Nothobranchius furzeri: one gene and its partners. The protein of the gene in region 3 purifies or fractionates together with the protein of the main gene of each other region. This does not show direct contact. Links are inferred from orthologs where the notes say so. Each region holds a gene or a part of one and is shown on either strand. Other genes may lie near its edges. The genes, in order: cul2, BTB/POZ domain-containing protein 2 and cops3.

Region 1 (3,600 bases), on a different chromosome or scaffold from region 3:
CTGCTCCTGATTGTAAGCCAGCTTTTTGCCATGGTTACGCATCATAACAAATGCTCAAAAAGTAAAGAAAGCTAAAAAATAGCAGTAAAAATCCTCCAAGCTTCACAGCACCAGAAACAGAAAAGTAAAGTGTCCAAAAAATACAGTTTTTCTTGAGAAACTAGAAGAAAAACTGTCCAAGAAAAGGCAAAACTTACATATAGTCAACAGAGCTACTCCAACATGCAGCCACCCAGAGCAGCACAGTTCCTCGGTAAGAGAAAAATCAGAGTTTTAGAAATAACGGGACACTCAGTAGAGCCATTATATTATATTTTTTACAAGTGTATGTAAACTTCTGACCACAACTGTAAGTTGCAATGGCCTTCCAACATGTCCCACGCTAATTTTAACTATTACTGTTTAGTTGGAATTAGGCACCAGCTTCCTGTGACCCTACTAAGGAAGAAGTGGTTCAGTTTATGGATGGATGAATGGATGGATGGATGTTGTCCACGCAATTATGTGACGCATCTAGAACAGTCATTCCCAAAGGTAAATCACCGATGACAGCGAAACTCCCATCTATTCATTTTCTGTCTTTGCTTGTTTCCATGGTTGCTAGGAACTGATACCTACCTGCATCCTTCAGTAGATGTGAGGTGGGTGCAGCACACACCCGGACACCTCACCAGTTAAAATCACAACTTGCATGAAATATGAAACAAATCTACCAAAGGAAGAAGTAACATGTTTGTGTGATTGGAGAATCATCATCTGCTTGACTTTTAATGTGAGATAATGTTGCTGACTGGAATGCATTCCAATATTTTAGTGTCAAAGTTGCCAATTAGTGGTGAACTCTTTTACAAATGAAACAATGTCTTTCGAGAAAAAAATTGACATAGACAGCAATGGAATAGACAAGAAAGGGCAAATTGTTTGATTAATATTTGACACTATTTTCTTCAAACTTGTTAAAACAAAAAAATCAAATGCAAACTGAAAATATTTATTTATTTATTCAAATGTACCCTTGCACGTTCCGATACGGTAGGTGGCAGCATTCAGAAACTGGCATTTTAATCTGTCATTAAAACCATAGAAGAAGAAGAATACTAGGGAAGACCTGTAAAACAAATCAAACCCGTGACAGCGGAGAATACTAACTGGGTTTTTAACAACTACATATTACACAGAGGTATGTAGTATGTAAGAGTCCCTGCTTAACTCGGGTGATTTGGTTTGTTTGACAGCAGTGCCATGTTTTGTGGAGGTGTCAGTGTGATTGTGGAGAAACTACTGAGATGACTTGCTAGCGATAGCTGAGCTGCCATTAGCTAGCTGCTATCACACGGAACGCTAACTGTTTCCATCAGATTGTATGCTATTCAAACGGGAAGAAGTAGCTTAGCATGCTAGCATGAAGCTAGTTAGCCTTTTAGCATTGAATCCTATTTTGGGATTGGCATGCCGCTAGCCAGTCACCTTTACTTAGCTTCGTTTATCGGGACTGTAAAGAGGTGTGTTTAGCACCGATCCTTCCTTCAGGAGAGACGCGTACGTGTATGAATGAAACCGGCTGCAACGACTAAAACTGTCAAAGTGTTTCAGTGATATTGTGTGACGTTTATTCAACTGACACAAGAACACAGGGCCTACGTTTCTTTACTTGATTTAATAAATGACTTCAGTGAAAGCAAAATGAAAGTTCATGTCAGTTATTGTCAGTTATGATCGCAACGCGGACACACCAGACCGTGTGTCCGGTGTGTTTTGTCCCAATGAACGTTGTCTTTGTACATTGTGTATCTAATCTTACTATCACAAGCAGCTATATGTGAGCAGCTATATCTAATGCTGTTTTTATGCCACTGGTTTAGAGGTGTATAGTTTATTGCAACGTCATTGATGTCATTAGTGGAGCAAAGATATCCATTTAAAAACATTCATTGGTTTTCTTCATTGATGTCACTATTCAACGCTTTCCTTTTGATTTCATCACTTGTATTCTGTTTAATAAGGACGTATTACATTATTAGATTGGTGAAAGAAATGGTATTACCAGAAAAAACATGATAAAATACAGATTCTTCAAAATATTAAATATTCACCCGTAACAACGTATTCACTATTTTTATTCTTCTGTAGGATAAAAGAGGAAATCTACAATGTCTTTAAAGCCACGGGTGGTGGATTTCGATGAGACATGGAACAAGTTACTGACTACAATCAAGGCTGTCGTGATGCTCGACTACGTGGAACGAGCCACGTGGAACGATCGATTCTCGTATCCTAGTTTCAGAGAAGCCATTTAATGTGTCTATATTTTGGATTGTAAACATGTACGGTAAAGTACTTTACTACACTGTGTTTATGTTTGTATTAGTGCAAACTCTTCGTTCTAACCCTTGACTGTAACATTAGTGACATTTATGCCTTGTGTGTTGCGTACCCTGAGCCTTTAGGGGAGAAGTTATACACAGAGACCAAAATTTTTCTTGAGAACCACGTTAGGCAGCTGTACAAGGTGAGCGTTAAAATACAATTCTTGCATTCCTGTTGAACTTAGCAGTCTATAACAGCTGCTCTACCTGTTTATGTTTTTTAGAAAGTTCTGGAATCGGAGGAGAAGGTTTTAGTTATGTACCACATGTACTGGGAGGAGTACAGTAAAGGAGCCGACTACATGGACTGCTTGTACAGGTAACACCCAGGCTTTTGATCTCATTGATATGAGAGAGTCATGAGGTTCATTTATTATTTATTATTAGATTTATTTATAATGTTACTAAAGAGTAGCCTTCACTACACTGTTCTATCTGAGCAGAAGCATTATACAGTTGGAGAACAAACTGAAGCTTCCTAGTTCCGGATGTAAACAAATGCCCCTGATCTGATGACTTTGAATCTGCACCATCATTTTCCAGCACATTTTTACGGGAAGTTGTGACTTGACACGGGTGTTGACCTCTGTCAGGGAGAGCAGATTGATTCTGTTCTCAGGGTTCCCGCGGGGTCTTTAAAAGTCTTAAAAGCATTGAATTTAGGAATTTGGAAATCACACCTTAAGTCTTGAATTTTGACAACTGGGTCTTAAAATTTTTGCTGCATGTAAATTATCCATACTGTATTTGACCTCAAAAGTTATATTTGTCAACCACATTAATTTTTGTTAAATAACGTAACATACATAGTGGTGGAACCAACACCACACCATTTTATTTATAAAAGCGCTTTCAATATGGCATTACAATCAACCAAAGCGTTGTACAAAATAAAACAATAAAAGGATAAAATAGTCGAGTCATAAAATTAATAAAAAAAAAATACAACGAAGAACCGTTTCAAACAAAAACAATAAAAACAAAAAATGATTAAAAGTAGTCAGACCACAGATTTAAGATGGGAAAAACCACAGTAGAAGGAGGTATGACAAACTGTTGATGCTAAGAATCGAAGGCCATGGAGAAGTAATGCATTTTCAGCCTCGATTTAAAGATGGGAAGCGAGGGTGCTCGTCTAACCGGAAGGGGTAGTGAATTCCAAAATTTTGGGGCACAGATACAAAAAAGCCCTTTCCCCGCGAGTCCTCAAACGCGTCTTAGGGACAGTGAGGAG
Region 2 (3,832 bases), on a different chromosome or scaffold from region 3:
TCCAACCGGACCGGACTGGCACTCTAAAGTTGCATGTGTGGTATTTTGGTCACAGAGGGTGACATTTCATTAACCCCGTAGGGTCATTTTAGTACATATTGGCTCAAGAAAATGATTTAAAAATATTAAGTTGCATAGTATGCCTTTAACTAATAAACTTTTAACGTAATTACTTGCAATCTGAAATTTGGTTTGACTGATGCCCACTCTGTCTATAAGGGATGTATTTGTTTTATTTAGGTCAGTTCGATGGAAACACAATAACTCATTAACATGCCCTATAGGTTAACAACTGTACTATGTGTAAAAACATAAACATAAACTCAATCCTCTAGCTTTCGAGATTAAAGATTTTTCCTGCTATCTGCTGGAGCAAAACTGTCTCTACAGGCAATGTTCATATTGCTAATCACGAGAAAACTCAAGAGCGTTTCCTGTGGATTCCTTCAAAATAAACTATACCACTTAAAATGACTGCAGGTTTGAAATTAGTGTTAACAGCATAATTAAGTCTGAATCAGTGGTACCCAATCCTGGTCCTGGAGGACCAGTATCCAGCATATTTTAGTGTTAACATTTTTCCCATACACCTGATTTCAATCAGCAGTTAATTAACAGGCTTCTGCAGAGCTTCATAAGCTGCTGCACAGGGGATTCAACCGCTGAATCAAGTGTTGTTGCAGAGAAACAACTAAAACGTGCTGGATACAGGTGCTCCAGGACCAGGATTGACAACCACTGGTCTAAATAATGCCAGAAAGTCCTCACTACAACCTACTTAACTACTAAAAATCAACAACTCTACTTTAATAATCTGTGTTCAACAAGATCAAATCAACCAGCTACAATTGGAGCCATTAGCAGTTAGCTACAAAATAGAGGTTCATTTTTTTAAAAGTTTTATTTTGATAAGGAGGCTGAATATTCTCAAAGGGGAAATATCAGATGTTTTTTTTCCATATGTGCTTTATTAAAATTCAGCCTAAAATTTTTTTGGTCTGATGTTTTAACTTTTTAATGTTGTTTAAGAAAAGAAAAAAGTGAATTATAAGTTTTTTAGTTTAACCCATTGAGGACAGCAGATTGTAGTACCCACCGTGGCCGCTAGAGGGAAACAAAAGGCAGACGTGACCCTTTAGACTACATGAAATGAAGAAAGCGATGAAGTTTGTTGTTGACGCCTACGCCAGGTTGAAGATGTCCGCTGGAGACAACAGCGGCAGGCCTCCTTGCCTCAGTTTCTCCGGCCCGGGTCCTTTGGGAAACAGCCAGCCCAGCAACAGCGTTTTCTCAATGCCAGCATTCAACGGAGGAGCAGGCGGTGCAGCTGGAGGTGCACAGGGAGCAGCGAGGCGGTCCAACCCGCAGCTGGGGCCTGCCGGGGGAGACAGCAGCGGTGTGTCGAGCGGAGCTCCGCCGACTGCGCAGAACCCTTTGCAGTCGCCCGCTGCGGCTGCGGCAGGTGCTGCGGCAGCCGGAGCAATGGCCTCCCCGGCGTCCAACATGATGACCACCGCTGCGTCAAACGCCAACCCGGCGACAGCGCCCACCTCCACTCCGGCTGCTGCGTCTGTGCTGGTCTACCGAGAGCCGGTGTACAACTGGCAGGCAACAAAGAGCACCGTAAAGGAGAGGTTTGCGTTTCTCTTTAACAACGAGGTGCTCAGTGACGTTCATTTCTTGGTTGGCAAAGGGATGGGTGTTCAGAGAATACCAGCTCACAGGTAATTACCTCCAACATGAGCCTGCTCTGACGTTTAAACAAAGATCTGACAGCCCCCTCTCTCTTTGTTTTAGGTTTGTTCTGGCTGTGGGGAGCGCAGTGTTTGATGCCATGTTCAACGGAGGGATGGCCACCACCTCCACGGAAATTGAGCTTCCAGATGTGGAGCCAGCTGCCTTTCTGGCCCTGCTGAAGTAAGAACCAGACAGTCCAGCGTAACAGTTTACATTCCCACAAACCAACCCTAGTTTGTGTGGTTTCCTGCAGGTTCTTGTACTCTGATGAAGTCCAGATTGGGCCTGAGACTGTGATGACCACCCTCTATACAGCTAAGAAGTATGCAGTTCCAGCCCTGGAGGCTCACTGTGTGGATTTCCTTAAGAAGAACCTGAGAGCAGACAATGCTTTCATGCTGCTCACACAGGTCAGCTCCCATCAACTCAGTTTCCTTCATCATTATTTATTCAATTCATGTTTGAGTGTTCTATTATTTTTATAATTTGTGAGTAAAAGCAAGGTTGTGATTTCTGTTCCAGGCGCGTTTGTTCGATGAGCCTCAGCTAGCCAGCCTCTGTTTGGAAAACATCGACAAGAACACCGGAGATGCTCTCGCCGCCGAGGGATTCACGGACATCGATTTAGGTAAAGTGCCTCTGTACATATTCATGCCATTTCTACATTGTGGAATTACACTTTTAATATGATTTGTTTGCTTCTGTTTAGATACGCTGGTGGCGGTGCTGGAGAGGGACACTCTCGGAGTCAGAGAGGTGCGTTTGTTTGGAGCGGCTGTCCGTTGGGCTGAGGCTGAGGCCCGCAGGCAGCAGCTGCAGCCGACGCCCGAGAACATGCGTAAAGCCCTGGGAAAAGCTCTCACTCTGATCCGCTTCCCTCTCATGACCATTGAGGAGTTTGCTGCAGGTAAGGATGAACAAGCTACGTGTTTTTCCTCTGTTTTAGACATGCATAGATGCTGTGATTCTGAATTTAATCTTCGTCTTTGGGTCCTATCCTTCAGGTCCGGCCCAGTCCAGTATTCTGACGGACAGAGAGGTGGTGAGCCTCTTCCTCCACTTCACAGTGAACCCAAAACCTCGTGTGGATTTCATCGACCGTCCTCGCTGCTGCCTCCGAGGGAAGGAGTGCAGCATCACCCGATTTGGGCAGGTGGAGAGTCGCTGGGGCTACAGCGGAACGAGTGACCGCATACGGTAAGAATCCCGAAGTTTAGTCTCTTTTACTAATACTACTTAATGCATTATAAAGTATTAATAAACTAAGTAATCCTTCATTTACATTCCCGATATTGTTAACTATTGATCTTAAGGTTGGGACAAAGGGCCAGGGGTTATCTGTGTTACCAATACATTTAACTTGTATGTGTTTTTAGCTCAAACAGTGTACCACATACATCAAATGATTTAATAAGATATTTATTAGTTGTTACTGAATTTTATCTAAGAGTTGATTATTATAGACGACTAGTTCTGAATACTAAATTCCATCTGTCACACTTTCCTGATAATTTTCTTCACAGGTTCTCTGTTAACAGACGGATATTTGTGGTTGGCTTTGGCCTCTACGGCTCCATACACGGACCTACAGACTACCAAGTCAACATACAGGTACCACTCCAAGCACTGCTCCAGTATTAAGTTGTTTCTGATCATTTGGAGTGTTTTCATCGTGTTTGTGACATTTGCACGTGTTGTAGATAATTCACACAGACAGTAACACGGTGCTGGGGCAGAACGACACGGGCTTCAGCTGCGACGGTTCGGCAAACACCTTCAGGGTCATGTTCAAGGAACCAGTGGAGATTCTACCTAACGTCAACTACACCGCCTGTGCTACACTTAAGGTGTGTGACTCCTGAGAGCTAATTAAAGGGAGCCAGAATGTGTGTGTTCATCCTTTTTTTTTCTGTGCGTCACAGGGTCCAGATTCTCATTATGGGACCAAAGGGATGCGGAAGGTAACGCATGAGTCATCATCCACTGGCACAAAGACCTGTTTCACATTCTGCTACGCAGCAGGCAACAACAACGGCACTTCAGTAGAGGACGGACAGATTCCCGAGGTCATCTTCTACACATAGTCACCTCAGAT
Region 3 (3,732 bases):
GAAGGGATTTTTGCCATTTTGAAGTGTGTTTCTGCATCAAAATGACGTATTGTCTCATGGCTTCAGTTTGGAGAAACAGAGCTTGTGTCCTTTAGGACTGATGAGCTAACAGCTAGGCTAGGGCACAGCCAAGACACATCTGAAAATGGCTCCACTTGTCTAAATGTCAGTGCTGCTTATGAGACACTGTTCTAAATGCCTTTACACCACCAACAGTCTCGCATCTAATGTTTGTTTTTGTAGAAATTTGAAGACATTTCTATTGAACTCGAACTCTGGATGCCCCAGAGCTTCTACATCATGCTGCTGCTGATAATTATTCACATATTTTGTATTTTGATTTCAGCTACAATCACAAAGATGGTGTTATTATTTAAAACATTCATATTTTACTCTTTGAGCATGTTCGAATTTAGCCTTTAGAAGTCAGCGTTGGTAAAGATGGCAGAATGAAGCCAAAACACACTGGTGGTGTGTAACACAAGTCAGAAAATACATCTCTATTTTAATCCAGACCTAGCTGTTCTGTGGGTCGGTGCCTGGTGATGATGCTGTAAACATCACCACTCCTGAAAAATCACATTTGGACCTCCGGGCTTCCATAGCAGCCATGTTTTCACGACGCTGGACAGTTGGTGTGCTTTAGACTGTATGTGACAGAAGTACTTTGTTATGTTATCCTAAGCTCACCAGACGATGGTCGTTTTTATGGTTTATATGGGAGCAAAAGAGTAACCATTTTAATCACTAAACACCTCGACGCTGCCGCCTGTTGGTCTAAGTCTGCAGAGCTGACCCCCGTCTCACCCCTCAGCGACTCTGCTCTCTCTCTCCTGCAGCTGTGCTTGTTAGCGAAGTGTTTCAAACCCGCCCTGCCCTTCTTGGAGGTGGACATGATGGACATCTGCAAGGAGAATGGCGCGTATGACGCAAAGCACTTTTTATGTTACTACTACTATGGTGGCATGATCTACACGGGCCTGAAAAACTTTGAAAGAGCACTGTATTTTTATGAACAGGTACCTTTTTCTTTAGTGTCTGAGCTCGATTTAGCAGCCTTTTCAGAATCTGTCACCTGGAGCTGTGTTCTCTCCTCTGCACTTTCACTGACAGGCAATAACCACTCCAGCCATGGCAGTGAGCCACATCATGTTGGAAGCTTATAAGAAATACATCCTGGTGTCGCTCATCCTCCATGGCAAAGTGCAGCAGCTGCCCAAATACACCTCACAGATCGTAGCGAGGTTCATCAAGGTACCACCCATCAGCTGTTACCCTTATCTGTCTTCTACCCACAGTGATATGAATGCTGTATGCATCTGATTGGCCAACTGGGACCATCTTTACTGTCCTTATGCTTGTTTTTGTGCTTTTAAATATCAAAGTTTAATTATTTATTCAAAAAACAAGTTTTCTCCTTCAGATGTGTCTATTTGACTTCATGTCTTCCACCATAAAAATGTTAAATTTACTGAAAGTTCTACAACATCCTGTTTATTTCTACCAGGTCCTGCATCTTAAACTAGAATACATCAGTGCTCGGCTCCATCTGCATTAGTTTGTTCCTTGAACTGGAGCAGTCGGGTGTTTTTCTGAACTTTTGTGGCTCTGGAGTTAGAATCTCACAGGGCTTTAAATGTGCCCTGACCCTTTGGTAAGACAAAGAAAATACTTTGGTTCTAGCGTGCTGTGCAGCTACACGTACCTGCTTTTCTTTTTCAAAGACCCACTCCAATGAAAATAATTGTGTTTTTTTCTGTTTTTAACATGTTCTTGAGACGTGGTCTTATGCTACATGACACATCTAAAGAAGCTTAAGCTCAAGATTGCCTTTCTGCGTTAAAAATGCTGTGAATCCGTAGCAGATGAAAACATGTGGCCTAAAACTGTCTGGGTTTGTTTGTTTATCAAATCAAATCCATCAAATATACTTTATTAATCCCAGAGGGAAATTAGAGTTTCAGTACACACAATTCAGAGATCAGACATACATGGGCAAGACACGTGACAAGAATTGGTGACTGTGGTCATTCGCAACCCGAGTCGCGCTACCTTAATAGAGACAAGAGGGTAACATGAGGATTGGTTCAGGTGGAGGGAAAAAAGGCACTTCAGAGTTACCCTCCACCGGGAGGGCAGCGTTGCTCTGCAAAAAAACACCTCAGACAGATATGCAACAGACTTCAGACAACACAACATAAGTGTCCACTAGGTGGGGTGGTGGGTTGGGACTATCCCCACTTCAGTTCCTGCAGCCACGATAAGCAGCGCATGTCACCTCCGTGTGGATAGGGGGAGGCATTGAGGGTTGGAGGGTTATTGTGCTGTTTGGATCCCCATTAGCTTCCACAGCAGTGGTTGCTAATCTTCCTGGGGTCCATTTTCAAAATACAAAATACATTTAACAATTCAAATGATTAAAACATTATAAATGATTACATTAGGATTTTAAAAGCTGTAGTGGCCAACCAGTGCCATCGAAAAGATCCCCCTTAACTTGCAGAGCCATCTGAAAATACCTTTCTTCTCGTTCCATCACAGCTACGAGAACAAAACAATAACAGAAAGTGCCTTAAGCCTTTTTTTTTAATGTTTTTCTTAAAAGAGCTTGATTTTGGATTTCCCTAACGAAACCTGGTGGCGTATTCCACTCAACAGTCCCTCTATAGAGAACGGCTTTCCTCATGAAATGACTTCTAGGTCTTGACACTATCACCATGTTATTGCTTGAGTGTTATGTGCTCATGGCCATATCCACTAAGTAATATTTCGTCTTTCATATGATGATGAATATTATTAGTCATAACTTTTTGCACAAACATCAGAAGACTATAGCCTCCACAGTTAACCATGACAACTCAAAATGCATCTGGTGCACATTGGTTCGAAGAGGACCGTTCAAAACGACTCTGCCTGCTCTGTTCTGAGCCATTAGCAGTTTGTTTCTGGACCAAACGACTGTACGGTACTGTAAATGAGATCAATCAAGACTTTGAACAACATGTTTCAGTACAGCGGTAGAACAACATGCAGAGCACTTTCTTCACAAAGATTCCTCGGCCCATCGTACTGACTCTGTGGTCAACGTGATCCAACCAGGATAATAAGTCGTCTACTCTAACACCCAACAGTTTGAATTTGGTGACCTGCTCCACCTTGGTATAATTAATTAGCAGATTTGTGACATCACAACCCACTGGGTGGAGCACAACCTCCACTCCTGTCTGCCCCCTCAGCCTCTGAGGAGTCTTGTCAATGTTCAAATGTCAAATGGATAGCTCCACCAGTAAGACTCCCTACTTATGGTTCAAATCCCAGCTGGTGCATATGAGATTTAGGCTCAAATGTGAATCTGTATATAGTTTTCTTACAATCTATATAATTAAAAGAAATGTGGTTGTCTCCGAAGCCAGAAGCGTTGCCATGGTGATGTTTCGTCCACTCGGCTGCCTTGCAGACCTAACACCGCAGATCATGGATGGCGTTGCCATAGTGTGATGTCATCGGTAGGCACCATCCCCGGTCCTCTTTTTCGGAAATGGAAATGTGGTCACCCTGCATTAAGTGATATAATTCCTCAAATAAACGCCGTTTTCAAACACCACCAGAAGGAACGCAGAACGTTGGTGAATATACAGTCCACTGTGTGTGTGTGTGTGTGTGTGTGTGTGTGCGCGCGTGTGTGTGTGTGTATGTAACAAGAGCATCAAAGGCAGAAGTGGCCGTATTAAA

Evidence for each region.
Region 1: the proteins of cops3 (region 3) and cul2 purify together in Homo sapiens (affinity purification with mass spectrometry; 5 studies listed by BioGRID and IntAct, counting the BioPlex papers as one, with this or other methods). This does not show direct contact. The link is inferred for Nothobranchius furzeri from reciprocal best matches to the Homo sapiens genes COPS3 and CUL2.
Region 2: the proteins of cops3 (region 3) and BTB/POZ domain-containing protein 2 purify together in Homo sapiens (affinity purification with mass spectrometry; 3 studies listed by BioGRID and IntAct, counting the BioPlex papers as one, with this or other methods). This does not show direct contact. The link is inferred for Nothobranchius furzeri from reciprocal best matches to the Homo sapiens genes COPS3 and BTBD2.

The regions. Positions count from the first base shown.
Region 1 is NC_091747.1:38,641,220-38,644,819, reverse strand, and holds the start of cul2 (cullin-2), read left to right. Parts: upstream 1-1,047; 5' UTR 1,048-1,180; intron 1,181-2,130; 5' UTR 2,131-2,150; coding exon 2,151-2,269; intron 2,270-2,406; coding exon 2,407-2,509; intron 2,510-2,590; coding exon 2,591-2,685; intron 2,686-3,600.
Region 2 is NC_091751.1:57,998,790-58,002,621, reverse strand, and holds the start of BTB/POZ domain-containing protein 2, read left to right. Parts: upstream 1-1,146; 5' UTR 1,147-1,149; coding exon 1,150-1,724; intron 1,725-1,797; coding exon 1,798-1,917; intron 1,918-1,990; coding exon 1,991-2,147; intron 2,148-2,259; coding exon 2,260-2,365; intron 2,366-2,446; coding exon 2,447-2,644; intron 2,645-2,741; coding exon 2,742-2,934; intron 2,935-3,260; coding exon 3,261-3,348; intron 3,349-3,437; coding exon 3,438-3,584; intron 3,585-3,659; coding exon 3,660-3,821; 3' UTR 3,822-3,832.
Region 3 is NC_091756.1:24,217,632-24,221,363, reverse strand, and holds part of cops3 (COP9 signalosome complex subunit 3), read left to right. Parts: intron 1-839; coding exon 840-1,019; intron 1,020-1,113; coding exon 1,114-1,254; intron 1,255-3,732. UniProt on the Homo sapiens protein: Component of the COP9 signalosome complex (CSN), a complex involved in various cellular and developmental processes.